4 linked regions of the Elephas maximus indicus genome follow. The protein of the gene in region 1 interacts with the protein of each later gene in a pairwise test. Links are inferred from orthologs where the notes say so. Each region holds a gene or a part of one and is shown on either strand. Other genes may lie near its edges. The genes, in order: COIL, PDLIM5, BYSL and SNRPF.

Evidence for each region.
Region 2: the proteins of COIL (region 1) and PDLIM5 interact in binary tests that used the Homo sapiens proteins (3 or more experiments, as listed by UniProt). The two-hybrid records come from large-scale screens. The link is inferred for Elephas maximus indicus from reciprocal best matches to the Homo sapiens genes COIL and PDLIM5.
Region 3: the proteins of COIL (region 1) and BYSL interact in binary tests that used the Homo sapiens proteins (3 or more experiments, as listed by UniProt). The link is inferred for Elephas maximus indicus from reciprocal best matches to the Homo sapiens genes COIL and BYSL.
Region 4: the proteins of COIL (region 1) and SNRPF interact in binary tests that used the Homo sapiens proteins (3 or more experiments, as listed by UniProt). The two-hybrid records come from large-scale screens. The link is inferred for Elephas maximus indicus from reciprocal best matches to the Homo sapiens genes COIL and SNRPF.

What each region holds. Positions count from the first base shown.
Region 1 is NC_064837.1:37,099,045-37,106,848, reverse strand, and holds the start of COIL (coilin), read right to left. Parts: upstream 3,016-7,804; 5' UTR 2,986-3,015; coding exon 2,741-2,985; intron 1-2,740. Other genes in the region: SCPEP1 (retinoid-inducible serine carboxypeptidase), read left to right, coding at 6,702-6,768. UniProt on the Homo sapiens protein: Component of nuclear coiled bodies, also known as Cajal bodies or CBs, which are involved in the modification and assembly of nucleoplasmic snRNPs.
Region 2 is NC_064823.1:60,104,023-60,111,735, forward strand, and holds the start of PDLIM5 (PDZ and LIM domain protein 5), read right to left. Parts: upstream 3,010-7,713; 5' UTR 2,913-3,009; intron 1-2,912. UniProt on the Homo sapiens protein: May play an important role in the heart development by scaffolding PKC to the Z-disk region. May play a role in the regulation of cardiomyocyte expansion. Isoforms lacking the LIM domains may negatively modulate the scaffolding activity of isoform 1.
Region 3 is NC_064819.1:106,347,289-106,354,955, reverse strand, and holds the start of BYSL (bystin), read right to left. Parts: upstream 3,007-7,667; 5' UTR 2,642-3,006; coding exon 2,374-2,641; intron 1-2,373. Other genes in the region: MED20 (mediator of RNA polymerase II transcription subunit 20), read left to right, coding at 3,165-3,178, 6,985-7,139. UniProt on the Homo sapiens protein: Required for processing of 20S pre-rRNA precursor and biogenesis of 40S ribosomal subunits. May be required for trophinin-dependent regulation of cell adhesion during implantation of human embryos.
Region 4 is NC_064822.1:161,191,139-161,198,484, reverse strand, and holds the start of SNRPF (small nuclear ribonucleoprotein F), read right to left. Parts: upstream 3,013-7,346; 5' UTR 2,883-3,012; coding exon 2,880-2,882; intron 623-2,879; coding exon 497-622; intron 1-496. UniProt on the Homo sapiens protein: Plays a role in pre-mRNA splicing as a core component of the spliceosomal U1, U2, U4 and U5 small nuclear ribonucleoproteins (snRNPs), the building blocks of the spliceosome.

The sequences.
Region 1 (7,804 bases):
TGTACTCCAAGCCTAACTGAAGACACTTCTAGAGAAGGGAGTGTGGGAGAAGTGTGTGAGAAGAGAAATGGAGGACTTTTTATCTCAAACTATTTTGGAGTATAATTTTTTTTTTAACGACAAGCTTTTTTTTGTTTTTGTTTTTAATAAAAGGATGGGAAGGGACTACAAATGTTTCAGAAATTAAAGCAGCAAGGTCTAATTTTATTGGTCTCCACTGACTGCTCATAGGCATTAGACAAACATACTCCTCCACATGAGAGAGAGGGCAGGGTCTAAAATTTTATAGCCCAGAAACCATTAGCACGCTGTGAAACAATACTTAGTCTCAAGAAGCCTAGAGCCAGACAACTTTAATGGCAATTATTTTCTCTGGCACTCAACGTTTCAGGGCACCAAACTGTCCTCAGCCTGGTTCAGCTACTCTATACTCTTACCTCCCACTGCCAGTCCTCACAGACATTTCACTGGAGCTTGGCTGCATCTCCAAGGGGCCAATAGTTAACGACAAATGAAAAAAGAACCCATCTCTAATATTAAATCTGGTACCAAATGCCACAGGGGGTCAAAAGAGGGAGGGAAGAAAGGATGCACTTTGCTTCCTTACAGAATGATTCTTCAACAGGGCGATCCCCCTAAGCAAAGGAGGGCACTTCCTCCTTCCAGGAGACCTGGAGACCAAGAGCTCAATGTCAGCAGCTTGGGAGCTGATGAAGTCAAAATACAGGGGCTTAAGGGAATGGGCTGTGAGGAAATGGTGCCAGCACACAAGTGCCAGATGTCTCTCAAGCCTCTAGGCTCAAAATGCTGCAGCAAATCCAGTTTCTCAGGCTAAAAATGTGGGATTCCCATAACCTGGCTCCACTTTTCCTAGTGTAATTTTTCTCTGTAGTCCCAACAGAATCCTTCTGCAAGTCAGACTTGTCTCTTTACCAAATCAGGCAAGCTCTTGCCTCCACAATTGTGCTGTGGCCAACCAACATTTCCTACCCATCCTTCAAGGTACTGTGGAATTCCCTGGCCATTTTTGTTACATGCTGATCTCTCCTTTCTGAGTCATCCTCTGCACTTAGCAGTATATTACAGTCTAACTAATTGGTCTAATTGCCTGCATCACACAAGAAGATAATATACAGAAGCATGAAACTAGTTATTTTGGTCTACTCCAAGAATATTAGATAGTTTTGAGAACAGTGACTATGCTTTCTGTTATAGCTCTGAAGTGCGTTTGCGAGAGGAAGGCAGAAAATGATTGGGGGCATGAAATAACAAAAGCAAACAACATTTTTCCAAATTCATTTTTTTTCCCTGAGGTCTGCCTTGTTAAGCACCAAAGGCAGCTACAGAGGTATTTACTGCCATATGCAATTGTGCATTTGAAGCACTTTGGAGGAATTTCACCTACCACTGTATTGTATTTATTATTTACAACATCTTTCATGGTTTCTTTTTGACACTGTTAATTTAATTATAAAGAGGATGATTCCCAGATGATTCATTAACTGAGATATAAATGTAGTTAGCTAGAGGCAAGTTATTAAGTCCTCAGGCAGCTGGCAGAAGGGGACACAATCCTTACAATAAAAATAGTCCCTGAATTGCAGGGAGAATGGAGATCTATTTCACAGTCAATAAAAAAGAAAAGAAACCCTTTTAGAAATGTACACTGCTTCAAATTATCGTTAGAAACAGCTGAATGCTATTAATACATCATATTGTTCCTAATTTAAGAGAAAGACACACACACTCAAAGACATAGTAATTATTCCAAATTAAATTCTCTGATGTTCTGAAGAAATCTCATGAAACTGACATGCTGTGGGGGTAGAGGGGGGAAGGAATATTTAACAACAACCCAGAGCAAGCAAGAGGAGTAGGCTGGTCCACATCTCTGGAATCAACTCAGTGTAGCTGAAGCTATATAGATATATACACACACATATAGATATTTATATTAAAAAGGCTTTCAATAAATGAGTCTAAGATATGAATCTCAACTGTAATGATCATGTCTCACCATTTTATTGACAGAAATCAACCATATATGATGAATTCACAGTACAATTACTCCTCGATGCTCACTTCGGTATCATTTTACAAAATTTCCAAAAGCACATTTAAAACTATTCTGTGTTTTCTCAATTCACAAATCTAAAGGATACAAACACCTACTTGAGTGAATCCCAAAACACTCGGGTACGACACAGAATGACATCTACTAGAAGTCTCAGGGAATACGGCAGGTGAACTAAGGTTGGACAACTTGGACATTACGAAAACAGAACTGTTCCTCTTTGTTTACCTGGGTCTCCTGCCCCAGACCCTGAGATCCGCCAAGGGGAAGGCCAGGTCTCAGGTACATCTGCATCAGGTGTACCGCGCTTGGTTAAGTGTCGGAGGGCTTGTTAAACCAAGGTTGAAAGAAACACGGGCCTTGCCGTACACTAAATCAGCGCTTTTCCAAGTTTGGTTCTCCAATCACCCACATCAGGAGCATCCCGAGGAGGGATGGCGTTAAAATGCAGATTCCTGAGCACCAGACACGACTAGGCCAATTAGAATCTCCGGGGTTCACGAATCTGCATTTTCAACAGCGACGCTTCCACAGGCTCCCAGCCCCACCCCCTACCTCCCAGCCACGCCGGGGTCTCCAGCGACCCGAGCGCCCGCAGGCCCCAGGTCCTCACGCCCCCGAGCGTGCGCAGGCGCGCCCCCGGCGGCCCCCCAACCCACCGCACACCTGAGGCAATCGTTGTCTCGCACCAGGCGCGCGCTCTCGCCGGGGGGCAGGAGCCCCCCCTCCAGGTAGAGGCCTAGGAAGGCCCCAGAGCTGAAGCCAAAGCGCTGGCGGACAAGACTAATGAGATCTGTGACAACTCGGCATCTGCTCAAGTCGACGAGAAGCCAGAAGACAGTGCAGTCCGGGGTGGCTGGCGGCGGGTAATCAAATTGAAGCCGTAGTCTAACCGTCTCGGAAGCTGCCATCTTACTCGGCGCTCAACGGAAGCCGGGAGATACCACAGGGCTACGGAGCGGCGTGCTCGGGCGACCAGCTGCCTGGAGCCTTTAACGAGTGCCACCTGTTGGTGGCACGTGGCTACTACAGGCCTCCTGAATTGCAAGAACGTGGAGCTTGGTTGGTTCGATTCAATTTCATTCACGACAGGGCCAAGCCAGAGTATAAATAAAATGCCTTTAATCCTCTCCTACCGATTTTAGGCGTATGTCGAGGACGACTTTAGACAAATATCTGGAAAAACAAGCACTTCTTCTAAGCAGTGGTCTTCTAACATACTCGCTCGTATACGTAAAAGAATTCTAAAAAACCAAAACCAAACCCCTTGCCATTGAATCGATTCCGACTCATAGCAGCCCTATAGGACAGAATAGACTGCCCCATAGGGTTTCCAAGGAGCATTTAGTTGACAAAATTTTTCATCATAAAGAGTTGCAAAGATGTAATTCCTAGCATATTGTGAATATGGGGCATAAATAAAACCGTTAACCATTCTTTTAAATGTATCCAAACCCGTTGCCCTTGAGTCAATTCCGACTCATAGTGACCTTATAGGACAGAGTAGAACTGCCCCATAGGGTTTCCAAGGAGTGGCTGGTGGACTTGTTTGGCAGCTGTAGCTCTTACCCATTGCGCCACCAGTGCTCCTCTAAAGGTATCCAAAACCAAAACCAAACCCATTGTGGTTGAGTTGATTCTGACTCATAGTGACCCTATAGGACAGAGTACAACTGCACCCATAGGGTTTGTAAGGAGCAGCTAATGAATTCCAACTACTGACCTTTTGGTTAGCAGCTGAGCACTTAACCACTCAGCAACCGGAACTCTTGGTAGTCAGTAGATACATGGAAATTTTTTTAAAAAAAGGAAGTTTTATTTTCCTGTAATCTAATGCTCTTAACCATTGTGGCACCAGGGCTATCTCTATATATACATACAGCCCTGGTGGCACTGTGGTTAACAGCATATATACATACATACAAATATATGATAAATACGTAATGTCAGTGTCCACCGTTACAATATCATTCAAAATAGCTTCATTCCCTTAAAAATGTCCTGTAAGGAATAGATAAGTGGTAACTTTGGTAAGGGGTAAGACAGTACACAATACTGGAGAAGCCAGCACAACCTGACCAAGGCAAGGTCACTGAAGCTCCATAGAGATGTCCATACTCCCTGAGGGACCAAATTACTGGGCTGAGGACTGGAGACCATGGTCTCAGGGAACATCCAGCTCAATTGGCGTAACAGTTTATAAAGAAAATGTTCTACATCCTACTTTGGTTGAGTAGCACCTGGGGTCTTAAAAACTTGTGAGCAGCCATCTAAGATACTCCACTGGTCTCACCTGGTCTGGAGTAAGGGAGAATGAAGAAAACCAAAGACACAAGGAAAAGATTAGCCCAAAGGACTAATGGACCACAACTACCACAGCCTCCACCAGAGACTGAATCCAGCACACCTAGGTGATGCCTGGCTACCACCACTGACTGCTCTGACAGGAATCACAATAGAGGGTCCTCAACAGAGCCAGAGAAAAATGGAGAACAAAATTCTAACTCACCAAAAAGAAAAGACCAGACTTACTGGCCTGACAGAAACTGGAGAAACCCCAAGAGTATGGCCCCCAGACATCCTTTTAACTCAATACTGAACCACTCCTAAGGTTTACCCTTCAGCCAAAGATTAGACAGGCCCATAAAAGAAAACAAGACGAAATGGGCACACCAGCCCAGGGGTAAAGACAAGAAGGCAGGAGGGGACAGGAAAAGCTGGTAATGGAGAACCCAAGTTCGAAAAGTGGAGAGTGTTGACATGTCATGAGGTTGGCAACCAGTGTCACAAAATAATATGTGTATTGTTTAATGAGAAACTAAATTGCTTGTAAACCTTCATCTAAAGCACACACACACAAACACACACACAAAATGTCCTATAAGGAGCACTAATGGTGCAAAGGTTAAGCACTCCTAACCGAAAGGTTGGGGGTTTGAATCCCCCAGCAGTTCTTTGGAAGAAAGACTTGGCGACCTGCTCCCGTAAAGATTAGAGCCTAGAAAACCCTGTGGCATCTCACAACTAACAATTTAGGAGTGTAGTGGTATCTCATTGTTTTAATTTGCAATCCCCTAATGACATTCGTCGTTGACCATCACACATACGTTTGAGACAGCATTTAGAGGTAATCCGACCCTCATACAGCCTGGGCTGTATTTTGTTTCCTAGCTCATTGAGGTGAGTTATTCAGAAGCCCTAAAAAATAAAAATGACCCAAGAGACAGAAAGGGCTACATAAACCAGCGACTACATCAGCCTGAGACCAGAAGAACTAGATGGTGCCTGGCTACAACTGATGACTCCCCTGACAGGGAACACAACAGAGAACCCCTGCGGGAGCAGAAGAGCAGTGGGATGCAGACCCCAAATTCTCATAAAAAGACCAGACTTAATGGTCTGACTGAGACTAAAAGGACCCTAGTGGTCATGGTCCCCAGATCGTCCGTCAGCCCAAGACGGGAACCATTCCCAAAGCCAACTTTTCAGACAGGGATTTGACTGGACAATGGGACAGGAAATGATGCTGTTGAAAAATGAGCTTCTTGGACCAAGTAGACACATGAGACTATGTGGGCAGCTCCTGTCTGGAGGGGAGATGGGAGGGCGAGGGGGTCAGAAGTTGGCCGAATGGACACGAAAAGAGAGTGGAAGGAAGGAGTGTGCTGTCTCATCAGGGGTATAGCAACTAGGAGTATATAAAAATAGCAAGGTGTATATAAATTTTTGTATGAGAGACTGACTTGATTTGTATACTTTCGCTTTTAGCACAATAAAAATTAAAAAAAATAATAAAAATGGCCTTCAGACACACACACAAATCTCTGCCATCCACTTTTCCTCCCTTTCTCCTCCCAAGCCTTTCTTCTCTCTTTAAAATGCCTGTTATGAAGACAAAGTAACACAAAATAATGTCAACGATAAGCTTTTAAGATTTTTTAAAGAGTATTTTTATTATCGTGTTTAAAAAAACGAAGTAAAAAGACTAGAAAAAAATTCCAAATGTCAACAATGATTGTGTAATCTAAAATTTTTTTGAATTTCTAAAACATCCATAATATACGGGATTTACAAAGAAAGGGAATTTAAAAAGCAAATCTCTGAAAATGGAAGCGCAGTTTCCAACCATCAGCTGGGTCAGGCTTTTGGGGAAGATGCCTCAGTTTCTGAAATTTCAGGCCTTTTGTTGGGGAAGAAAGAGGCGGGCGGGGCAGAAAGGACCGTGCTTGCAATTCTTCCTCAGGAGCCTCGCAGCCCAGTGGCACGAACCAAACCTGCACCCTCAAATCCTACTCAAATGTACTACACTAAACGCCTCGGCGATCGAGCTCTCCCTCGTGGTCCTTTTCCCAAAACCCCACAGAACGAGGTAGACTAACACGAACAGCCTGAGGACCATGGAGAGGATTCTGGTTGACCTCCCGGCAGAGGGCTCGCGAGACATGGCGAGCCGCTCCGCCAGGCCCCGCCCCTGGCCCGCCCAGACTCCTTCTCCGAGCCTCCAAGCTCCGCCTCGGACCTTCCTGGCTCCGCCTCGGATCCGCGCAGGCTCCGGCCCCGCCCGCCGCCCTCACGTGATCGGGCGCCGGGTCCAGCCTGTTGCTGATGCTGCTGTACGGCGGTCATCATGGAGCTGGCTCTGTGTTCCTGCTCCGTCCCGCGACTGCTGTTGCTGCTGCTCAGCATTAGCGCAGGTAGGTTCGGGCAAAGGTCGCGAAATCCGCATCAGCGACTCGTGCTTCTTTCTCTTTCCAGGGGTGAGGAGAGTTTGTTAGTGGGCTTGTACTTTTGACAGGTCTCTTTTTCCCTGTTCTTATATTGATTTTGAACTCACCCACCCCGTTTTTTGTTGTTGTTTTTTTATTGTAAATGCTTCCTCTACCCTGTCCTGGGTTCTGGCTTCCCCGCCTTCCTCCCTGTCCTAGTAGAAGCCGTTGTGCAATAATGTATTATTTGTGGAAACTGCCGATCGATGAGCCTTCCACGATCTTGAGGTTTCCACCTCCTTTTTCTGTGACTACTAAATGAGGTTATAATGCCTTTTTTTTTTTTAGCTAAAACATGTGGTCAAAAAGACTCTTAAAGCCGTACCATGAATGAGACCTTTAATGAGATAAGAGTTTTCCCCTCTGTTCAGAACGGACAAGGTAACATCTCCCCGCACATGGAAATTTTTTGACAAAAATCTAGTCGTTTTTAAAATGATGATTTGCAAACTGCTTTTGACTCTTTTCACTCTTAATGGCTCACCAAAATGTCTGCTGGTCTGGATCAAGAACTGAGGATTTGAACTGGCCACACACTTATCATGTGACCTTAGACAGTTGCTTAATAGTTTTTGTTTTCCCTTTTGTAAAATGGGGGTCATTTGGCCCTTCAGCTTTTTGTCTGGGAAATGTTGTAAAATATGTTGTCTGAAAAATTTTAACAGTGGTCGCAAAATTTTAACAGTGGTCCCTGCCAGGGAAGGGAGGAGTGCAGGGGTGGGGTCCAAAGTGATCGGATCCATATCTGTCATTTTCAGGGAGACTGTAATCTTGCCTTACCTGTATGAGTAAGGGTAAAAGTTATCTACCGTGTGTGTGTGTGTGTGTGTGTGTGTGTGTGAGAGAGAGAGAGAGAGAGACAGACAGACAGACAGAGAGAGAGAGAGAAAGAAGTGCCCAAGGAGACATCTTCTAGCCACATCTGTAATGTTTTAGCCATATGTAGAATGTTTTGCTCTTCTGG
Region 2 (7,713 bases), on another chromosome or scaffold:
TATGTATATGTATATAGGAAAGAACAAGATTTTATTCCATGTTTAATTCAAAATGATGTTGCTCTTCTCTCCACCTCATGCCTTCATGCATTCAGTTAGCAAAAGTACTTCAATTTCGCTTACTTAAGTTCTAAGTTACTCTAACATAAGAAAGGGACTGCAAATCAATATACTCCCATTCCAAATACTGAGGTCTTTAAAATAAAATTTTTTTTAATGCACAAAACTATTCTCTTCAGTCATTAACTACAATTTGTATTTGCTCCCATAGGAATACGATATTTTCCACACTTGTATACTTTCTCTTTGCATAGTCAATGATAGGGAATACTCTAGCACAGTACTATTTTAGTTAGAATTTACTGCTTTTACTTTATACACACACCTCCTTAAAGTAACCATCTACTACATGATGAATAAGAAACATGATAGGAGTGCAAAGCTAATCTTAATGTAGTCAACTGAATGGAGTTTTAGAAAAGAATAAATGTTTCAGGGTTTTGTTATTTTTTTCTCCCTGTGTTTTGGTGTGCTTACAATGACTCTCATGGTAGTACTTTTATAAAACAAAATAATTACAGCACAAAAAAATATAACTCGAAGATTGGTATTGGTTGTTATGTGGCTTTATGTGGGTGGGGAGCTTGGGAGGAACGGGGATTTATTTTTTTCAGTAGAATACTAAGGAATATAATAGTTCCTTCTTTGAAAAATATTAAAAATATAATAGAATATGCATAATTTTAAAAACTTTTTTTAAAGGCTGTTTAAAATGTTCTTCTGGGATAATCTGAGTTGTTTAACCAAATGATCACTTTATATTAGCTCTCTTAAAGTGTTTCGCATTTGTTTAACCCATTCAAAATTTCTATGCCACCACACCAAATTCATAGTGACAGATGCAGATATTCGAGCCACTGAGTACATTAAAAGCAAACAGATTCCTTCTTCTCATAAAAGGAACATGAGGCGAAACTTTCAAATAAGTCTGATTCTTACAAAAAAATCAGATCAGTGGCAATCTGTACAGCATCTACCTAGGAATTAAATGTGCCTTTCCACTGACACAGTAGTACACTGTATTACTCTGCAATAATGTTACTCCACTACTGAAAAGATGCAGGGCACTAGAAAGACCTAAAGGCTAAGCCAGAAGTCAAACAACTACGATACATGAAAAAGAGGAGTAGGAAGGTACTAAAGAGCCACACAATTAATTTGTTTTCCTGCTGTAATGAAGAGATTTTCATAGATCTAGGAGAGAAAAACTGTTTTGATATCAGCACACAATTTAAATCAGAAGCATGTAAAGCCAACTGGTATTTCACAGGCAGCCAGACGTCTTCTTTAATCCTTAACTTGGGACAGGAAGAATGTAAAAGTTGGGTTCAGCTTCCCCTGGCCCCATTGTTCCTACAAGAACATGTATTTCATTTCTGTATCAACCCTTGTACATGCAAGTTCCCTTTACTTTGGGCTCCCTTCCTGATTTCTCTATTTGCTACTAAAATTTCTAGCACTGGCCGGTCACAGGCACAGTACAGAATCAGTGTTTTCCTTTCTTTAGTTTTCTCCTTCTGCTAGCTTCATTCAGAATTCATTTGCCTTCAAATATTCAGATCCCTAAGCAATGACAATATTATTACTGGCCTTTTCCAAGTCTCCTTGAAAATCATCTGGTTATTAGTGCCCAAACCATTCTGAAAATACCCAACAGGCAAGAAATAGTGAGCAGCTTACTCTGCTTTCAAAAGCATGGAAAATATTGGAATTTTTGTGTTTTCTTTTAGGGAAAATCTAAACAATGTCTTTGCTTTATTATTACGGAAGAAAACTTGGTATTTCCTACACTTCTATCCCAGCTTCTTTGGTAGGTGGGAGGGGGAGGAGTGGAGAACTCGTGATGAGTTGAATAAGAAGAGCCTGAAACTAAAAAAAAAGTAGCTTGAGATTCTTTTTCCCCAGATTAGAGAGATGATGGAGGTAGAGCAGAAGAACCAAAGCCACAGGCACAGGATGAAGGCGCCCGACGAAACAGTTTCCCAGCAGAAGGTTCACGCCTAGCCCTGTTTGCCAAATAAGGCTCCGGAGCAGGCTGTTTCCGTGGCAGGCGGGTTCAGACGTCCTCACGGTCAGGAAGGCGGACCTGGGATCGGATCTGGCGATCACACCCTAGACCTGCCCTGCCCAGCGCAGCTACGAATTTTCTTTCCAAGCTCTGCCCTGTCCACACGCCCTTCCTTTTTCCAGTTATTGTCAATCTTACCAAAGGCACGAAAACCCCTACATGCACGCAAGTATTAATAAATCCAGAGCTCATGACAGTCATTTTTGTTTTAATGATCTTTATTTCTGGACGCACGAAAGCTTTTCCGAAACAGGTTACACAACTGTAAACATCTGGGGAGGAAATACTTGCTTCTCAGTGTACTGAGAGCAAACAAATAAAAACATCACACTTTTCCCGTTGGGTCCCGCTTCCTCCTCAAGCCCCTAGGAGATTAGAGCAAGACGTCGGTGTACAAGAGCGCCAAGGTCGGTTCCTGGCGACGCCGGGCAGCCGGCCCGACGGTGGCGCGGGGGTGTTCCGGAGCCCTTCCGCGCCCGCCCTCCGCTTCTCGGACAGCGGACCGGCGCCTCGCTCCCGCCCCCGGGCTCTGCCACGCTCGCCCCGGCCGGCACGGGCTCAAGGAATTCCCGCGCTCCGCTCCCGGGGCGCTCCTCTCCCCACCTCAGCCGCCTCCTACCTCACCCGCTCCGCGCCGAGAAAACACCTGAGAAACCGCCCCCCGTGCGACGCGCACCCCTCCTTCTTCTCCGCTGGCTTCCCTCCTAGCGCTCTGCGCTCAGCCACCACTTCTATCCCTCCTCCCCGCGGATCGGAGAGCGCGTCCCCGGCAGCAGCCACTCACCTCGGCTCCGGCTCGGCGCTGCCTCTGCCTCAGACAAGCGCTGACAAGTGTCTCGCGGTGCGTGCGCCGTCCCCCTCGCCGGCCTGCGGGAACTTCCGCCTCCTGGATCTCCCCGAACCCGCCTCCGGGCTGGGCCCCGCCCCCTCGGCGCCTGGCCCCGCCCCCGGGCCCGGCAGAGCAGCGCCGGGGCGGAGGAGGCTGCCGGAGACACCGGCTCGCTGGCTTGCTCGGGCGGCTGAAACCTTATCCCAGAACAATCGCTTTACCGAGTTTCGGTGGGAGTAGTCTTAGGGGATTTCGGACAATACTTGTTAAAGGTCTAACCCTTCGCATTTTATTGCGTACTAGGTGCGTTTCTCTCTCCAGAAACCTCAAATTGGCAAGCAGTTGCTCTAGCTAAAAATAGAAGGGGCTTTGGGTAAATCCCTGTCTATGCAAGTTCTGCGGATACTGCCTGTTTGTTTTTTGAGAGCGCTTTATGTACTCTGTACACCCAGGTGGCGTAGTGGTTAAGTGCTACAGCTGCTAACCCAGAGTTTGGCAGTTTGAATCCACTAGGTGCTCCTTGGAAACTCCATGGGGCAGTTCTACTCTGTCTTATAGGGTCGCTATGAATCCGAATGGACTGGAGGGCAGTGGGCTTTTTTGTCTTTGGTTTTATGTGCTATAAGAAGTGCAGAGCATGAAGTATGTTTGCTAGAAAGGTAAAAATCAGTGACCCAATATATCTAGACGTTAAATCCTGTCATCACACCAGAAAGCAGCAAAGAGCAGCGACCAAAAGTGGTTCAACCACTGTATCCTTGGCTTATTTTTTAAAATCCAAATCAGCACCTACCTTCTAATTTCTAGAATGTTGCTTGATTTAACCCAAGGTATTTATTATTAAGCAAATTTAAATAATGTCCAGTGAATACACGGAAAGTAACTTATTGACTTTTTAAAATAGTGAACTGTTTTATAAAACGTGTAAACGACAACCCTTAAACAAGGGGAATATAAACCAAGGATGAACTTCATGGGGACTATGAATCCCTTAGAAATGTAAGCAATTCTAGACGAGAAGGTCAAAAACGGCTCTGTCCAAAACTGTAGCCACTAACCACATGTGGTGCTGAGCGTTTGAAATGTGGTTAGTATGACTGAAGAACTGCATAAGGGAACATTTTATAGCATTTTAATTGAAAAGTGAAGCTGAGTAAAAGATATTTCCAATAAACACACCTTATTGTTTGAATAGAACTACATTTCACTTTAACAGTTGAAAATGCAGTTAGTGCCTGAATTGAGACACCTTGAAGTGTAAAATGCATTCTGGATTTCAAAGGCTTAGTACAAAAGATGTCATATAAAATACCTCATTAATGATTTTATACTGCTTAATATTTAAATCATAGTATTTTATATATTGGGTTAAAATTATTATTAAAGTTAATTTCACTTTTAATGTGGATACAATAAAACTTTAAATTATTCATGTGGCTCACATTAAATTTCCATTGGAGAGCACTGGTCCATAATTTTGTTACATCCACCAAAGGATTATGTTGTGGGGGGAAGGAGTTTCCTAGTATGAGAGCCTGTTTATGCAGTGCTTAAATGTATGTTATCACAGTTGACATCTCATCAAAAATTAGTAAATAAAACTCACTATCATTTACAAATACCTACCATGTGCTAGACAGCGTGGTAGTCATTGCAATAACTTTGTAAAAGAAATGTCATCGCCATTTACAGATAAGAAAATCGAGGCTGAGAGAGATTAGTTTGTAACAGTTGCAGGGGGCCATAGCTAAAGACATCCTATAATGGTCCCATCTCTGTACTTCCTCATCTGTTTCCTGCTGAAATTGAGCATGAGTCAATGAAGGTTTGATTAAAGACATCAAGAATTGCAGAGAATAAGTATCTTGAGGTGATGAGGAAGGGTTGGGAGTGAGAGAAATGTTGCTGACTTACACAAATTCCGTTTTAGGCAGAGTTTTAACCTGCCTCTGGATCCTCCTCCTACTACCTCAGTTTAAAGCCTGGGGTATAGGGTAAAAAAAACATTCACCATCAAGCCGATTCCAACTCACGGTGATGCTATGTGTCACTGTAGAACTGTGCTCCCTAGGGTTTTCAATGGCTGATTTTTTTGAAGTAGATCTCCAGGTCTTTCTTCCAAGGCACTTCTGGGTAGACTCCAACCACCAACCTTTGGTTAGCAACCAAGCACTTTAGTAGTTTGCACCACCCAAGGATTCCTGAGGTATAAGGTAAAATCAACAAAATTAAATACCATAAGAAGTGATATTTATCCAAGTGTCTTCGAATGGACCAACAGCATCAAAATGACACAGGCAAAGATTATTAAAATTGCATTTTCATTGGCCCCACCCAGACTCAGAATTCTTGGAGGGGAGGCAGAGGAATCTACCTTCTTAATAAACATCCTCATTAGGTCATTATTAAACTATAATGTTTAAAAACCACTTCCCTAGAAAAAGCCCTGTATCTTCAATTTACTGGTACTGTGGTTAGGTGAGGAAACCCTGGTGGCGTAGTGGTTAAGTAATACTGCTGTTAACTAAGAGGTCAGCAGTTTGAATCCACCAGGCGCTCCCTGGAAACTCAGTGGGGCAGTTCTACACTGTCCTGTAGGGTCACTGTGAGTTGGAATCAACTTGACGGCAGTGCGTTTGGTGGTTGATTAGGTGAGGTGAGAGCCATGAGTCCCAGATAGCAAAAATTTAACTCAGATTCTTCATCTTAAAGGAAATAATATCTACATGTGAGGTTACCATAAGGAGGAGAATAATATATACAAAACACCACAGTGTGCTTGGCACTAAGTAGGTGTTAAATAAATGGTAGTCACATGAAACATTCAAAGCCAAATGATTAGATCTATTAATGTATATTAAAAGACCAGCAGAGAACTTTAGTATTCTTTATACATGTACTATCTATTTGGTAATTTATGTACATCATCTTATTTAATTCTTACAACCATACTAAATAGGTTTTTTTTCGGAGGCAGAAACAGAAACTTGCAGATTAAGAAATTTAACCAAGGGCACATGACTAATAAGTCTGATTCCATAAACCACGTTCTTTTCACTTCAACACACTGCTTCTTGGTAAATTCAGTAACCCAACCAGCTTAAAGATCAGAGAAAGATGAAAACTATAGCAACTAACGCTGTTGAGGGCCATAGAGGTACAGTCTGAAGCAAATTATTGAAATAAAATAAGCGTAGGATTATTTGTATATGAAAAAAATGAGGGAGGATGAAACTACTGAACCACTTCCCGTAGGGCATGTGCTTTAACTTGTTCTGTGATGAGCTGCCCCTGAGTCCTACTGACTCCGCTTCTCCATCTCCCTCATGACTAATGTTTATGAAATGGTTGGCCATGGTTTGAAGGACAGTCTGTGACTACAGAATAGCCAGAAGATAGCTGATCCACTGGGAAATCAAAACAGTGTCCTTGGCCTTGTTAACTCTACAGCTAACCGATGAGACACTGACCACAAAGAAAACCATATTAAAAGTTTCACTTTATCCTAACCAGTGCACAGAAAAGTTAGAGTATGGAAAAAACAAAAAAAGATCAAGTATTAACTGATTTAGCAGGAAGAGTATTTAAGAATATTCCATCTAAATACAGTATTCACCTCAGTGTATAAATGTTTGCTCTAACATTTTATTATCCAATGTATGACTCAGAATCCTCTTGCAGTACTACAAAAATAACAGCAACTTTTAATTACAAGATAGCATGACTATGACAAGTTTTTGCAGTCGCACCCAATGAACTATAAAGTGCCAGTCTTTAAAAAAAAAATTCCCACATTACTCTAAGTCAATTTATCTTCAAAGTCCTAATCCTGAAAAGTAAATAAAGCACTCATAGGTATGAGTATTTAATTTTTAAAGTCCAGAATGGAGGGGAAACATTAACATTTGGCAATCTAGGATATAATTTAATGCGTTAGCATTGACCTGGGAGAGTTAATGCTGCCAACATGATCTTAAAAACTGAAAACTCATCCGTGTGCTAAGAAACAATTATGTTTTAAGTGTTCAAGATCAACAACAACAAAAACTGTTTACAATTCAACCACAAACTTATGGACCCATTTTCTAGTATTTTATTCTCATGCTTACAAGGCTTTATCAAACTTTATAGTACTTAAAAATACTTTATTTTATGAAAAAGTTTATAATGTTTCAGAAATCTTATAGCTCTTAGTCTTTAAAACCACTCATTCTCATGCCCACTAGCCTATCATATACAGGCAAAATCTAGTTCAATTGAATATCACAAGGAACAAAGTCTGAGTAGTAAACATCTGAAAAACAAGCAGTAAATGGAAGTGTTGTAATAGACTATCTCAAAACAAAAATCTTACAGGAATTCTCAAAGAAGGGGATCAGCATTTCTTGAGCACACACTCTATAAGCCATTTTACATTATGGTATTAGTTCTTAAAGCATACACACATAAATTTTATAGCACGGGTTCTCAGTTTCTGCTGCATATAAGAATCATTGGGTTGCTCCCCAAAGCTATCTAAATAAGAGTCACTGAGTACTACTGCTCTAAATAGGGAGGGTAACCTTACTTCCTTTTGATAGCTTCGGAGCCCTGGTGGCACAGTGGTTAAGAGCTCGGCTGTTAACCAAAAGGTTGGAAACCCTCTGAGGCAGTTCTACTCTGTCCCATAGGGTCACTATGAGTCAGAGTCAACTTGATGGCAATTTCTTTTTTGTTTTTTGATAGTTGTGGAAACTGAGAACAGGGAAGTAAGCAA
Region 3 (7,667 bases), on another chromosome or scaffold:
TTCTATATAGCCGTTCTTAGATGACGCATGGGCACTTCAAACATCACATGTCATCAATGAACTCATTCTCTTTCCCTCCTGAGTCTGCACCACTCACTCTTTTCCACATTTCAGCAAACGGCACCACCATTCACCCAATGCCATACCACAGCCTGGGAGGCAGTCCCGCCTCATCCTGCACCCTCACCCCCAACACCCAGACAATTACCAGGTCCTATTCCACTTTGTAGAATATCTCTCAAATCCCTCACAGCCCTATCTAAACCTCGACCAGCATCATCTCTTGCCTGGGTTAATTCAAGAATCTTCTAAATGATCTCCATACTTTCAACCTTACTTCCCTCCAACTCATTCTCCACTCTGCAGCCACAATAACCTTCTAGAAATACACATTTGATTGGTCCTGCACTCAACATACTCTTCAGTAGTTTCCCATTCCCTTTAGGATAGTTTTAAATCCCAGGCATGGCCTCTAGGTCTTTTGGAGACTTGGCTCCTACCTACCTCGCCATCATTCATTAATCCATTCATTCAGCAAACCCTGAGTGCTTACTGTATGTAAGGCACAGTTCAGGGTGCTAGGAATAGATCGCTGAACAAGAGTAACACAATTTTTTGTCCTTGTACAGCTTACATTCTAATTGGAGGAGACAGGCAAGGAACAAACATAACAAGTAAAACATACTGGGTTAAAAGATGACAAGGGCTATGAAAATAAAGTTAAGAGTATAGTATACAAGTTGGAGTACAGTGGAGCAGAGGAGAGAAGGGATGGGGTGTTGCAATTTTAATTAGAGTGGTCAGGGTAGGCCTCTCTGAAAAGGTGAGTAACTGAGGAGGTGAGCCTACAGGCGTATGGGGACAGAACAGCCCAGGCAGAGAGAATAACCAGGGCAAAGGCCCTGAACTGCCATGTTTAAGCAACAATGAAGCCTATATAGGTATGATGAAGTGGACAAGGCAAAGGGGAAAATAGTATAAGAAGCCAGAACGGTAATGGGGGTGAGGGGGCTGAACAGATAGGGCTTTGAAGGCTATTGCAATCCTCTAGCTGTTGAGTTGAGAACGGACTGTGGGGGAGGGGTAAGAAATACTAATGAGGAGGCTCCTACAATAATTCAATTGCGAGATCTTGGCGGCTTGGAACAGAGTGGTACGGTGGTGTTCCAAGGTGGTAAGAAGTGGTCTGATCTAAATACATTTTGAAGGTAGAGTCAAACATGATTTCTCGACAGACTGGGTGTGGAGACAGAGAAGGGTCCAAGGTTTCTGTCTTGAACAATGGGAAGTTATCGTGCTACAAACTGAGATGAGGAAAACAGTGGGAGGCGCAGGTTTGGGGAGGAAGGTCAGGATTTCAGTTTTAACATGTTAAATTTGAGATGTTTATTAGATCTCCTGTAGCCCTGGTAGCACAGTGGTCAAGAACTAGGCTGATAACCAAAAAGTCGGAGTTCGAATCCATCAGCTGCTCCTTGGAAACGCTATGGGGCAGTTCTGCTCTGTCTTACAGGGTCGCTGTGAGTCGGAATCTACTCCACAGCAACAGGTTTATCAGGCCTCCAGTTGGAGATGCCAAGTAGGATATAATATTGAATCTGGGTTCCACTGAAGAGATCTGGGCTGGAATGTAAGATTGGGAGTAGTCAGCAAACAGATGGTGTTCAAACCATGAAGCTTGATGACATCACCAGAGAAGTATGTGGGTTTAACAGAAGTCCAAGGACTGAGCCCTTCAATAATTAGAGGTTGGGAATAACAGAGGAGCCAGCAAAAAAGACTGAGAGGTGAAGTAGCAGTAAAACAGAAGTGTGATGTCTTAGGCATAGCTAACCCTCAGTCATTTTACCAGTCTCAGCTAATAGGTTAATTTGGAAAGCCCTTCCTGACACCCAAGACTATGCTATTCCTTACTGGAGAAACTGTAGTTTCTTTATTATGGAATGTATTATTCTAGTTGTCTATTTAATTGTCTCTTTTCTAGACTGTTGGGTCCTGAAGTGAGACAGTGTCTACCTTGTTCATTTCTGAATCCAAACTCCTAGCACAGTGCCAGGCACGTAGTAAGCACCCCATACATATTTATGGAACAAAAAGATCATTGCTTAGGAGAACCTGGTCTAACTTTGGGGATGCCGGGGAGTAAGAGCTTAAAACTAGGAGTGGGCGTGGTGGGGCTCTGACTACTCTAAATTCGCTCCACGACTCGGCTCCTACTCCAATACCTTTGTAAGAGTGTAATATGGACTCCCTTCTTTAATTCCCAGTTATTCCTTTGCAAGTCACCTCTAAGTCGTCCATCCTCAACAAAGCTGTGTTCGTCGCACACTCTGCCCCCCACCCCCGCTCGCCCACCCGCCCGCCACCGCTCACCCAGCCGCGTGGTGCGCTCCCTCGGCGCCTTGGGCCTGTCTCCAGTCCCATGTTCAGTCTCCAGCTCCTCCTGCTGCTGCCGCGCTTGTTGCAAAATCCGTCGGGTCAGCCGGGGGCCCACATATTCTTCCTCTTCTTCTCTGGTCCTGCGGCCCCTCCGTTTTTCCCGGGCCCCCGCCCGCACTGCGTCCGCAGTCAGGATCTGCTCCGCCAGGGGCGCGTGTTTTTCCCGATCCCCAGCCCCGCGTGCCGCCTTAAATTTTGGCATTTTCCTCAAAAAAGTTACCGGGAAGATTTACACGTGGGTACCGAGGAGAGAAGCCCAGCGCGCTTGCGCAGTGAACTCTCAGTTCCCAAGAGGCAGCGCAAAGAACAGCGCGACCCCCAGCGTTCGGAGGCCAGAAGTGCCATCAGCTTCTCCCCCCCTCCTAAGAGAGCTCGTGAGCCTTGGAGCTAGATACTCGAATACCTTCATTGCTGGTTCCTCTATGGGGTGGCAGTCCGAGCCATGCTTTCGTAGCTTCATGGACCCAGGCCCTGGATGCCCAGCCAAATCTCAGTTTCCGAAGCTGCAAACCTAGGGGCGGGAACTGAGCGGATGACGTTGCTGGAGGCGTCACCCAGGGGTTGCCCAGGCAGGTCTCTTTCCTCGTGGCGCGTCGACTAGGCGCACTGTTTTTACGTAACTTCCGGGGCGTTTCCCTCGCTCGAAGCTTTCCTTAGTGGGTTTCACTTCATCGAGAGTGCTGAGTTTCAACTGTTTGAAGCTGCAACCCTCTTGGCCGGACACCATGGGAGTGACTTGGTAAGACTGCAGGACCGCTCGGGATTTTGTGGGGCGAGACTGGGGGTCGTGAAGGACCTTCGGAGCCTCGAACAGACCTGGGAGGAACTACCAGGGTCCGCCGTCCCCCAGGGAGCTTAGCAAGATGTCTCCGTGTTGTGGGAATGAGAGGCACACTGTGAGGGCTGCGGGTTCTCCGGGCCTGTTTCCTCGAAAATGAGCCCCTGGAAGGCGGCAGGTAAAAGGTTTTATCCCAGAAACCCATTAATGTTTGTATCTCCCTTTTTTCTTTCTGCCTGTGAGGCCATATTACTGCTAGTAATAGGACTTCAGCTTCGGAAGTAGCATCTCCGGCCTGGCACCTATCAGCAGGCAACGCTGGAGGGAGTGGAGGGTAGGCAAGGAGAAGACAGTGTTTCTTTTAGGTTTTTGCCTGATCCTCCCTACAGCCACAAAGTGCAGTGAGACCAGTTTGTGTTTAGTTTCATTTTCGCCGTTTTAATACCTCGGGTCAAGAGTAAAAACAAAGCCACTGAGAATTAGAAGATGGGCTTCTAGTTGCTTTACCTCTTCAGGACGTGTTTCCTACTATGTTGGCTTCCATGGTTGGTGTAGTTTCTATCGGCCTTTTATTTCTAACATGTTGTAAGTCTCAGTTGGAAGAGGGAAAGGTGGGCCTAATGCTCTCAGAGGCATTATTTCCAAAAGGCTTAGTTTCAGGACGTTTTAATGTCATTCCATTCAAAGACATTAAAACATTTTTCCAGTCAGAGGGGCTGGAGCCCAGAATATCTGAAGTCAGTGGCTGTAGGCTTCTCATATAAAAGTGTGTAGGAGCATTTTTTTCTCCTGGTAGCCCAGGCTCTTGAAAGCTTGCAAGTGATTATGCCCATGTTTCCCACAGTTGATATATGATTCTCTTCTGAGTCCTGTAGTGTAAGAGGGATGGGAATGAAAAGTTTGCAACATGGAGGCTTGGGACCCTGGAAACCCCTGACACTTTGTCTGTTGGGACCCTTACCTTTTTTTTTTTTTTTTAAGAATCCTAGGACTTTTGTTTCTCATAGCTTTGGTTCAGGCATTTTCTTTCTTTTTTTTTTTTTAAATAATTTTTATTGTGCTTTAAGTGAAAGTTTACAAATCAAGTCAGTCTCTCACACAAAAACCCATATACACCTTGCTACACACTCCCAATTACTCTCCCCCTAATGAGACAGCCCACTCTCTCCCTCCACTCTCTCTTTCCATGTCCATTTCGCCAGCTTCTAACCCCCTCCACCCTCTCATCTTCCCTCCGGGCAGGAGATGCCAACATAGTCTCAGGTGTCCACCTGATCCCAGAAACTCACTCCTCACCATTTTCCAACCCATTGTCCAGTCCAATCCATGTCTGAAGAGTTGGCTTCGGGAATGGTTTCTATCCTGGGCCAACAGAAGGTCTGGGGGCCATGACCTCTGGGGTCCTTCTAGTCTCAGTCAGACCATTAAGTCTGGCCTTATGAGAATTGGGGGTCTGCATCCCACTGCTCTCCTGCTCCCTCAGGGTTTCTCTGTTGTGTTCCTGTCAGGGCAGTCATGGGTTGTAGCCGGGCACCATCTAGTTCTTCTGGACTCAGGATGATGTAGTGTCTGGTTCATGTGGCCCTTTCTGTCTCTTGGGCTCGTAATCACCTTGTGCCCTTGGTGTTCTTCATTCTCCTTTGATCCAGGTAGGTTGAGACTCATTGATGCATCTGGGATGGCCACTTGCTAACGTTTAAGACCCCAGACGCCACTCTTCAAAGTGCGATGCAGAATATTTTCTTAATAGATTTTATTATGCCAGTTGACTTAGATGTCCCCTGAAACCATGGTCCCCAAACCCATGCCCCTGCTACACTGGTCTTTGAAGCATTCAGTTTATTCAGGGAACTTCTTTGCTTTTGGTTTAGTCCCGTTGTGCTGACGTCCCCTGTATTGTGTGTTGTCTTTCCTTTCACCTAACGTAGTTCTTATCTACCATCTAATTAATGAATACTCCTCTCCCACCCTCCCTTCCTCCCCCCTCATAACCACAAAAGAATGTTTTCTTCTCAGTTTAAACTATTTCTCAAGTTCTTATAATAGTGACCTTATACAATATTTGTCCTTTTGCAGCTGACTAATTTCACTCAGCATAATGCCTTCCAGGTTCCTCCATGTTATGAAATATTTCACAGATTCCTCACTGTTCTTTATCGATGCATAGTATTCCATTGTGCGAATATACCATGATTTATTTATCCATTCGTCTGTTGATGGGTACCTTGGTTGCTTCCATCTTTTTCCTATTGTAAACAGTGCTGCAGTAAACATGGGCCTGTATATATCTGTTCGTGTAAAGACTCTTATTTCTCTAGGATATATTCCAAGGAGTGGGATTGCTGGGTCGTATGGTAGTTCTACTTCTAGCTTTTTAAGGAAGCGCCAAATCGATTTCCAAAGTGGTTGTACCATTTGACATCCCCACCAGCAGTGTGTAAGCATTCCAGTCTCTCCACAGCCTCTCCAACATTTATTATTTTGTGTTTTTTGGATTAATACCAGCCTTGTTGGAGTGAGGTGAAATCTCATTGTAGTTTTGGTTTGCTTTTCTGTAATGGCTATTGATCGTGAACATTTCCTCATGTATCTGTTAGCTACCAGAATGTCTTCTTTAGTGAAGTGTCTTGATTGTCTTTTTGGTTTTTGCCATAGCTAAGTACCACCTGTAGTGTTTATTAATGTTTTCTTTTAAATCTGTTTTTTTTCTTAAACTTAGTTTAACCATCAACTTACATTCTTAGAGAGGTAGATTACTATTGTGGTTAAGAGCATAGATGTGGGAGCCAGGTTGCCTGGTTTGAATCTTGGCTACACCACATGTTAGATATGTGACCTTCGGCAAGTTACAGCAGCCAACAACAATTTCCTCATTTATAACAAAGAGAAAAGTAATAGTGCCTCATATACAGCTGTTCAAGGATTTGAAGAGTTAATCCATCTAAAGACCTTAGGATACTGCCTGGCAGATAGTAAGTAGATGGTTGGTAATTGTCACCTATCATCCTAAAGAGGAAGCAGTTTCACTCACCATAGAAGGACACCTTGGAAATAACATTTTTTTTTGTTGCATTGTATTAAATTCTCATAGATATTGTTGCCTCTCATCTCCAAAGATGATAAACTTGAGGTTGCTTTCTCTTTGTTCCTTGGGCTGTTGACCTTTCTGCAGTGATGGAAATGTTCTATATCAGTAGTGCCCATTGTATCAGCAGTGTCTAATACACTAGCCCCCAGCTACATGTGGCTATTGAGCCCTTGCGATGTGTGTAGTTCTTTAACTGAGGGAGTGAATTTTAAATTTTGTCTTATTAATTGAAATTTAAATATGCCATATGTAGCTAGTGGCTACTGTACTTATAGCCCAAGTTCAGAGTGTTAGAGAATTGGTAAAAGTGTACGAAGTCCAAACATACTTTATCCTTGACGTAGTCAGAACTGAAAGAAATGCACAGGGAATCTCTTTCTCATGACAGGAGTCAGTGTTACGGAATGCTCAGTCTGTGTGCCACCTAAAGTCTTCTCTTGAATGGTGGCACACGTACTACACTTGGGAAATGCTAGAGTGATAAGAAGTTCGCTGCACTGGTGTAAGAGTTCTGAGGCCTGTGCTTTGGTTTCTAGAGAAACTTTCAGGGATGAGGGGGTCAGGGTGAGTGGTCTCTCAGGTAACTCCTGGGCCTGATGAGCTATGATTTTGTGAGTGAGTGGCTCAGTGAGGCCTGTGTGTCTCTGGATACTGATGATTTTGGTTCTCTCTCTTCCAGCGTGTCCCAGATGCCTGTGGCCGAGGGCAAGAGTGTCCAGCAGACTGTGGAGCTCCTTACCCGAAAATTGGAGATGCTTGGGGCAGAGAAGCAAGGAACATTTTGTGTGGACTGTGAGACCTACCACACGGCTGCCTCTACCCTTGGCAGCCAAGGTCAGTGAGACGGGTCTGTAGGATGGTTGGAACCAGACTTGGAGCTGCTGGACGTTTGTGTTCTTTGAAGTCTGTCTGCTCTTCTGCTAAGAGTGGTATTCCTGAACAAGAACTTAATTCTTGGTCCTTCATGTCTTAGACTGGGGCTATTTTTGGCTGTTTTTCGTTTCAACTGTTTTAAAGCAGTGTTTCTCAAAGGGTAGGTTTGGTGACCAAGTGCATCAGAATCCCCTGGGTTACTTGTTAAAGGTGCAGATTCCTGGCCCCACTTACTGATTGACTGACTGGTGTTGCAAGTCTCGTAATCTACATTTTAAGAAGCATCCCAGAGGATCCCTATGTACTCTAAAGTTTAAGGAAGACTCCTTTCAGGCTCAGGAATCTCATGTATGATTTTTTAAGTACTTTCTAACACCTAGCCAGTGGCCTTGGCTACCTCTTCAGCATAACCTTGACCAACTTTTGTTTTAAATGCATTGCCTGATGAGATGGGGGTGTGAATGGTAGGGAGGGAAAGAATATCTTTGA
Region 4 (7,346 bases), on another chromosome or scaffold:
TCAAAAACCTGGCTAAAATATTTATAGAAGCTAATTTAACAGACATGCAGTGAGTCCATCCATCCCTTTGTCTGGCCTGTCTTCCCCGTTAAGAAATGCTTTGATTTTTTAATTACTTTGGTATTGTCCCTTTAGCATTCATTAAAAAACATTTCAGGAGTTTCACTTGAGAAACTTCTTTCAGAGCTAAGTGCTGGGAAAAGTTTTGCTTTCTCCAGCATACTCTTTTGTTTCCCTTATGGCATTATGAATCAAATGTCTGAGCTCTTCTTACTTTAACCACGAGGAATCATCTGTGGCTGAACTCTGGGTTAACCCCAAGTCTTGTACCTTGTATATCAGAGTTACAGCATCTTCCCGGCCTTGACTTTATTCCTGATTTTGCTTTATATTTGTCAGTTTCATTGTATGCATTCTGTAAGCCACATTAAGACCTCTGAGGAACAAGGTGGAATATAATAAATACAATTTTATAACTTTTGTAACTCTAGCTTACCTGCATGTTCATATAGCCATCTACAGATACCAGGTAGCCCTTGTACTCCATTCCCCACTTAAGTTTCACCATCACTGGCTTTCCTGTTAATCCGTTCAGGAAAGGTTTGGGATTGAGGGGTAAACTCTGCACAAGGAATAAATAATAACAATAATAAAGGACTCAATTGATTCTTTTCCCTTAGCTTGGCTTCCACCACGCTTTCTTCTCTACCAAATCATCCACCAATATTTTATGTATCCAAGTGATGCAAACTCTTGATTCCCTTTCACTTTTTAAATTGTGAAAATTAATACATAATTTTGACTATTATTTTTTGAAAAGCACCAGGAAAATTTAAACAACCAATCAGCCAGTTTCATCTTCAACTCATCAAAACTTTTAGAAGTTTGTTATTCACTTAAGAAAGACTGTTTCAGGCTCTAAAGAAACAAAGGTGAAGACACTAAAAAAGAAAAAAAACAGCAGATGATATAGTCTCTGTCCTCAAGTAGCTGGCGGGGGCTGGGGGCGGGCGGGATACATACAGATGGACAGATGTACCAAGTGCAGATACACACTGGAGTACTGAACCAATACGGGGGAAAGGTTGCCTGAAATAAGTAATGCCTCAGTTTTAAAGGAAGAGAGGTGCTTCCGGAGAAGAAAAAGGACTGATGTAAAAGCAGCTAAGGGTGTAGCAACAAGGTAAGCTCAAACCAGCTGCCCTAGTCAATTTTGACTCGTGGTAACTGCATGCCAGGCCTTTCTTCTGAGACGCCTCTGGGTGGGTTCGGATCACCAACCCTTTGGTTAGTTGTTGGGTGCTTAACTGAAACCACCACCCAGGGACTCCTAAGGTGACCTCAGAGATATACAAACAATTCAGTGTTGTCAGAGTACCCAGACATGAGGCTACAGAAGCAAGCAGGGGCCAGAACCTTCACTTTAATTTTAGGGGCTAGGATTAGGTCTTATTTGGCTTTGTATTACCAATGCCCAGCAGCGCCTGCTACATATTGTAGGCAATCACTTAAAACCAAAAAAACCAAACCCGCCGCTGTTGAGTAGATTCCAACTCATAGCAACCCTACACGACAGAGTAGAACTGCTCCATAGGGTTTCCAAGGAGCGGATGATGGATTTGAACTGATGACCTTTTGGTTAGCATCCAAGCTCTTAGCCACTGGGCCACCAGGGTTTCACTTAATGTTTGTTTATTCAGCAAAACAGTAGAATCCCCAGTGAATTCAGACTTTTCTCCTTCCCTCATTTGCTTTCCCATCAGCTCAAAGGAAGGAAAGAACCAAGAAACCTAGCTACCCAATCCTTTTAAGATAAGCATATTCAGAGTGATCTCACAGGACACAGGATCTACTGCAATAACCTCCTAATAGGTGTCCAGTTTTCACTCATCTTTCTCCAGTTTATTAACAATACAGCAAGTATTATTATTTTTTAAGGTATATATCGAATGTCACACCTCTGCTTAAAATGCTTCAATAACTTCGAATTGCACCTGAAGTAAAATCCAAACCTACTAAAATGGCCTAAAAGGTTCAGCTCAATGCCTGCCTCTCTGACCCTATCTCATAACTCCTCTTTCCACAAGAAGCACTGTGGCTTTTGGGTCAACTCCTGGAAAATGTCAAGCTTTCTTCCCGGCCTTAAAGGCTTTGCTCCTGTTCCCTGTGCTTGGTACACTCTTTCTCCTGTTCTTTAAGGGACCGTATTTCATGTCATTTAGATGTACCGTCAAATGCCGTCTATCAGGGCAGCCATCCCTGATCACCTATCTAATGTACGAAGCATCCTGTTTGCTTCCTTCTTAGGATTATTTGTAACTGTATGTTTATTTGTTATTATTTGATCAATGCCTGTCTCCCACATCCCACTATGGGTTCACACAGAGCGCAGGGTCCGCATCAGTACTTTTCACCCACCACCTCTGGCGCCTAGAACAGTAACTGACAGGTGGATGCGCACAATAAAGATTTCCGGAACGAATACACGAATGCTTCAAAGCCTGTGCTTTGGGTTCCAGAGGGCTGCGGGCGGGGGGTCCTAACATCTTTGAATCAAAGTGGATTGTGGAGTGTGATACTCAGGAAGTGAAAATGGAGCGTCCCAAAGTCCCGCTTCATCTTTACCCTGGCCCTGTGGCCTCGGTCAGGTAGGAAACCTCAGGCCTGGGTTCAAACGAAGAAGAGCGGGAAAGAGAGCAGGATGCTGGGGAGGGGAGGGCACCGGGAGGCCCTCAAAGTCCCCAACTCAGGGAGAAAGGGACTGGCGGCGAGATTCACGGATTCTCACATGGATGAATGGGGAACGCGCGAAACAACTACCAGGCCTGTCTAGACCGGTCGCTCTCCCTCTCCGGCGACTCACGCCGTTCTCTCCTTACCATCGTGACTACGGGTGAATGGTGTAGGATCCTCGCCGCCGACCCAGCTGTTGTCCGTCCCTCGTGATCGAAGCAGCCGCTCTAGGCCCGGAGTCGCGGCACTCCAAGAGAAATGGCCGCCAAAAAGCAGCGTGACCTTTCACCTCTAACCCAGCCCGTCTGGCTTCTCTGATTGGGCACAAAGAGACGCGTGCTGATTGGAGGAGGTGGCTGTGCAGTGTCTCCTGGCAACCAGCGGCATGCTTTCCGGGCTTCGAGACCCGTGAGGAGTCTTCGGCCGGACTTCAAAGGCTAAGGGACCCGACTCCATCTTCCTCGATGGGGTGGCAGGAAAAGCCTTGTGTTGACTTCCCGCCTGGGAGATGCTATATATCGTGTAGAACGGACGTGATTTCTCGTCAACTTGGCTAATAGAGGTTTCCTTTGCTCTTTCGGCGCAGTGGTAAAGAGCTCGGCTGTTAACCAAAACGGTCGGCAGTTCCAGTCCACCAGCCGTTCCTTGGAAATCCTATGGGGCAGTTCTGCTCTGCCCTGTAGGGTCACTATGAGTCCGAATCGACTCGACGGCAGCGGGTTTGGTTTTGGGTTTTATAGTTTAAGCCAAGCAGTTCTTGGAGTTATTTATCTCAAAGTTCCGTGAGTTTTCTTTTAGTTTGATGATCATTCAATAAATATTTAGCCTTTACGCAGACTTTGAGTTCCTACTTTGGGCTAGGCTCTTTCACAGTTGTTATCATAGAAATCTTCCCAAACAGTATTTTGATTTGGCAGTTACAGCCCTATTTTAGAGATGAGGAAACAGGCTCAGCAGGTAACTTGCCCACTATTCCATAACTGAGTTTCAACCCCCAAACTCTGCTTTTTGACTTACTTAAAGCATCCTTTCAGTCATTCAATATATACCTTAGAAATCTGACTTTGCTGTTTTCTCTGTGAAGTGAAACAGTATCTTACAGTAATCTGTGTAAAGATGTTTGAAGTTGATTTTTTCTCATGTTAAATATTAAATTTAAATACCTTAAAGTCGTTGGTATTTTTCTAATTATAAATGCTGTACATTTTGTGGGGGTCTTAGAAAATACAGAAAATTCTAAAAAATAAACCAAAAGTCACTGATAATCCCACCAATCAAAAAAAAATTAACTTTTTTAATGTACTATTTATTGTAACGCATGCTGTTTTAAAAAATAATCTACATACCGTTTTGTAACTTGTTTTCTTCACTTTATATTGGGAAAATTCTCATATAATTAAATATGCTTCTGAAGTGTGGTTTAATGTCTCCATTATTCTGTTTTGTGAATATGTGATCATTTATTAATCGTTCTGTTGTTTCCATTTTCCCATTATAAATGATGTGCTTTGGACATAATTTTACATGAATCTTTGAATGTATCTCTGATTGTTTACAGTAAATTCCTAGGAGTATAATTCTTGAGTTAATAGGCATTATTATTTTCAAGGTTTTAAAATATATTTATTGCCATATTTGTATGTGGTTCAACAGAATAGCCACCAGAATAATCAGTTTTAATTTGGGGGTAATGTTGTTGTGTGCCATCAAATTGATTCCAACATATAGCAACCCTATAAGGACAGAGCAGAAGTGCTCTATAGGGTTTCCCAGGCTGTAATTTTTACAAATTGCCAGGTCTTTTCTCTCAAGGAGCAGCTGGTGGGTTCGAACCTTTGAAATTTTGGTTAGCAGCCCAATGCTTGACCATTGCACACCAGGGCTCCTCTTGGGGGAAATTTTTCGAGATGGGAAAGAATATATCTTGAGCACATTCTGAGGGAACTTTCCTCAATTATTAATTAGGATGAAACCTAGCTGTAAATAAGCGTCTAAAAAGTAATTTATTAAATGACCAAGATATATTTATTGAGGGTTTACTACAGGCTCCTAGGTGGTACAAACGGTTAACCACCTCACTGCTGACTGATAGGTTGGAGGTTCAAGTCCACCCAGAGGCTTCTCAGAAGAAAGGCCTGACGTACTTCTGAAAAAGTAGCCACTGAAAACTTCAGGGAACACAGTTCTACTCTGACGTGGGGTCACCGTGAGTAGGAATCCATTCAACAGCAGCAAGTACTGATACTGTGAACTAGGCACTCGGGGGGAATAGTGGGGAATGAAATGGACGTGTGATCTCTGCCCTCCTGGAACTTTAAAACCTTTTTTGAAGAAAGGAACTAATACATACTGAGCGCCTGCCATGTTGTACAAGGGTATTTCATGTAATTTATTTTACTTGAGGAGCCCTGGTGGCACAGTGGTTAAGAGCTTGGCTACTAACCAAAAATCGGCAGTTCAAATTCACCAGCCACTCCCTGGAAACTCTATGGGGCAGGTCTATTCTGTCCTATAGGGTCACTATGAGTCAGAGTCAATTCCACAGCGATGGGATCTTACTTAAATCCTCACAGCACTTCGTGGTAAGTATTAATCTTCCCATTTTAGAAATGAGACACATTCAGAGAGGTTAAGTATTTTTGCTCAAGGCCACATAGACTGAAAGTGGCTCCAAAGCCCAGGATTTCTCCTTTATACTTGCTACCTCTCCCCAAACTGAGTTAGAGTAGAGAACAAGTGAGCAAATACATAGAAATACCAATATGAATGCAGGGTGGAGGAAGATAGAGTTTAGGAAGTTACTTTTGAGATTGATGAGCTCTTCCTTTTATATTCTCTCCTTTATTCCCATAATACTCAATATTTTCTTTGTTTATAATTATGGTCAGAATTAATTATCATGGCCAGGATAGGCTTAAGGGGGGGGAAAAATCTGAGTTAGATCAATGGTTTATAAATGCTAGCCCCTAAACCTGGATCGCTCTGCATACAGTATTGGGACTTTGAAAACTGTCTTCGTTATTTAAAAATAAACGAACAAACCCAAAACTTAAAAAATTGTGCAGTTATCTTAATGAATACTGTATGGACTGACTAAAACCTCATGCTTTCTGCTTTTGATTAGAATGAAATCAGAAGGCAAATACTGGTTGATTATCATGGATCAGAAGCTGTAATTGACATTTATATAAATGGGAAAGTAAATTGTCAATAAATGACACTTATTCATAGATTCATTTTAGAGGGAGGGTAGATAATAAGAGAAGCCTTCAAGGCTGGGAATCACTTAACTAACTAGATGACCACTGGAAACCCTGGTGGCATAGGGGTTAAGTGCTATGGCTGCCAACCAAGAGGTTGGCAGTTTGAATCCTCCAGAAGCTCCTTGGAAACTCTATGGGGCAGTTCTCTGTCCTATAGGGTCACTAAGAGTCGGAATTGATTCAACAGCAGCAGGTTAGGTTTAGGTTTAGATGACTAGTGTTAAATATTAACATTAAACCCTTTTCAGTTCTTAGCCATATGTCCACAAGGTGGCAATGGTGTTTTGAGTAACATCTGATTGACCGCCTGGAACTTTGAAGTGAACCTCTATAAATGGAGACCTCACTGTTCTCAAAAAACAAAACGAATAAAACCTGCATCTCATGGAATTCCCCCCCCCCCCCCCCCAGTTTCCTTTGCCTTCAACCTCCTTCCACCTTTCCTCATGCCTCAAATGTCTCCATTGGACCAAATTTTAGAAATAAAGCTGGTTATTCTACCTCTTCGTCTTTTTACCCTGTTGCCAGAGGTATCTCCAAACACCCGCCTCCTCCAAAACAAAATGGAGATCTGGACATTATTGCTCTTCTGCTCACCAACCTTTCTGGTTACCCATTTCTAGCAGCCTTAACAAATCCTTGCCAGCTTTTCTCTATAGATTCATCTCTTTCCATTCTGTCCCACAAACAAAAGCCTTTCCCAGAACCACAGGCCATGTTCTTACACTTGATAGTCCCTTCACCTAAAAGTACTTTCAGCCTGGAAAATTCCTCCGTATCTTAATGTTCCTGGTCCAGCTCAAATGGGTACTTTATAACTGAAGCTTTCGCTGTCTTCCTCAGGTTATTATCCTGTCACATGGGCCTACACAATCTTATCTTGTTTTAACACTAATTGTACTCTATTTTATGGAGCACTGGTGGCACAGTAGTTAAGGGATAGGCCACTAACCAAAAGGCTGGCAGTTTGAATCCACCAGCCGCTCCTTGGAAACCCTATGAGGTAGTTCTACTCTGTCCTATAGGGCCGCTATGAGTCAGCATCAACTTGACGGCAACAGGTTTGGTACTCTCTTTTAAAAGGTCCCTGGGTGGCACAAACAGTTTGTGCTTGACTGCTAATCAAAAGGTTGGTGGTTCAAACCCACCCAGTTCTACTCTGTAACACACCAGGCCAGCAAGGTTTTTTTTTTTTCTTGTCGTTTGTTTTACTCTATATCAGCGAGAATTTTTTTTTATTAACTCATTTGTTATTATTACTAGTCATTCCCTGCCACAATCGATTTTCAGTAAATTTGTTGAGTGAATAAATGAATGACTGAATTGATAGACTTAGACTATAAAAATTTG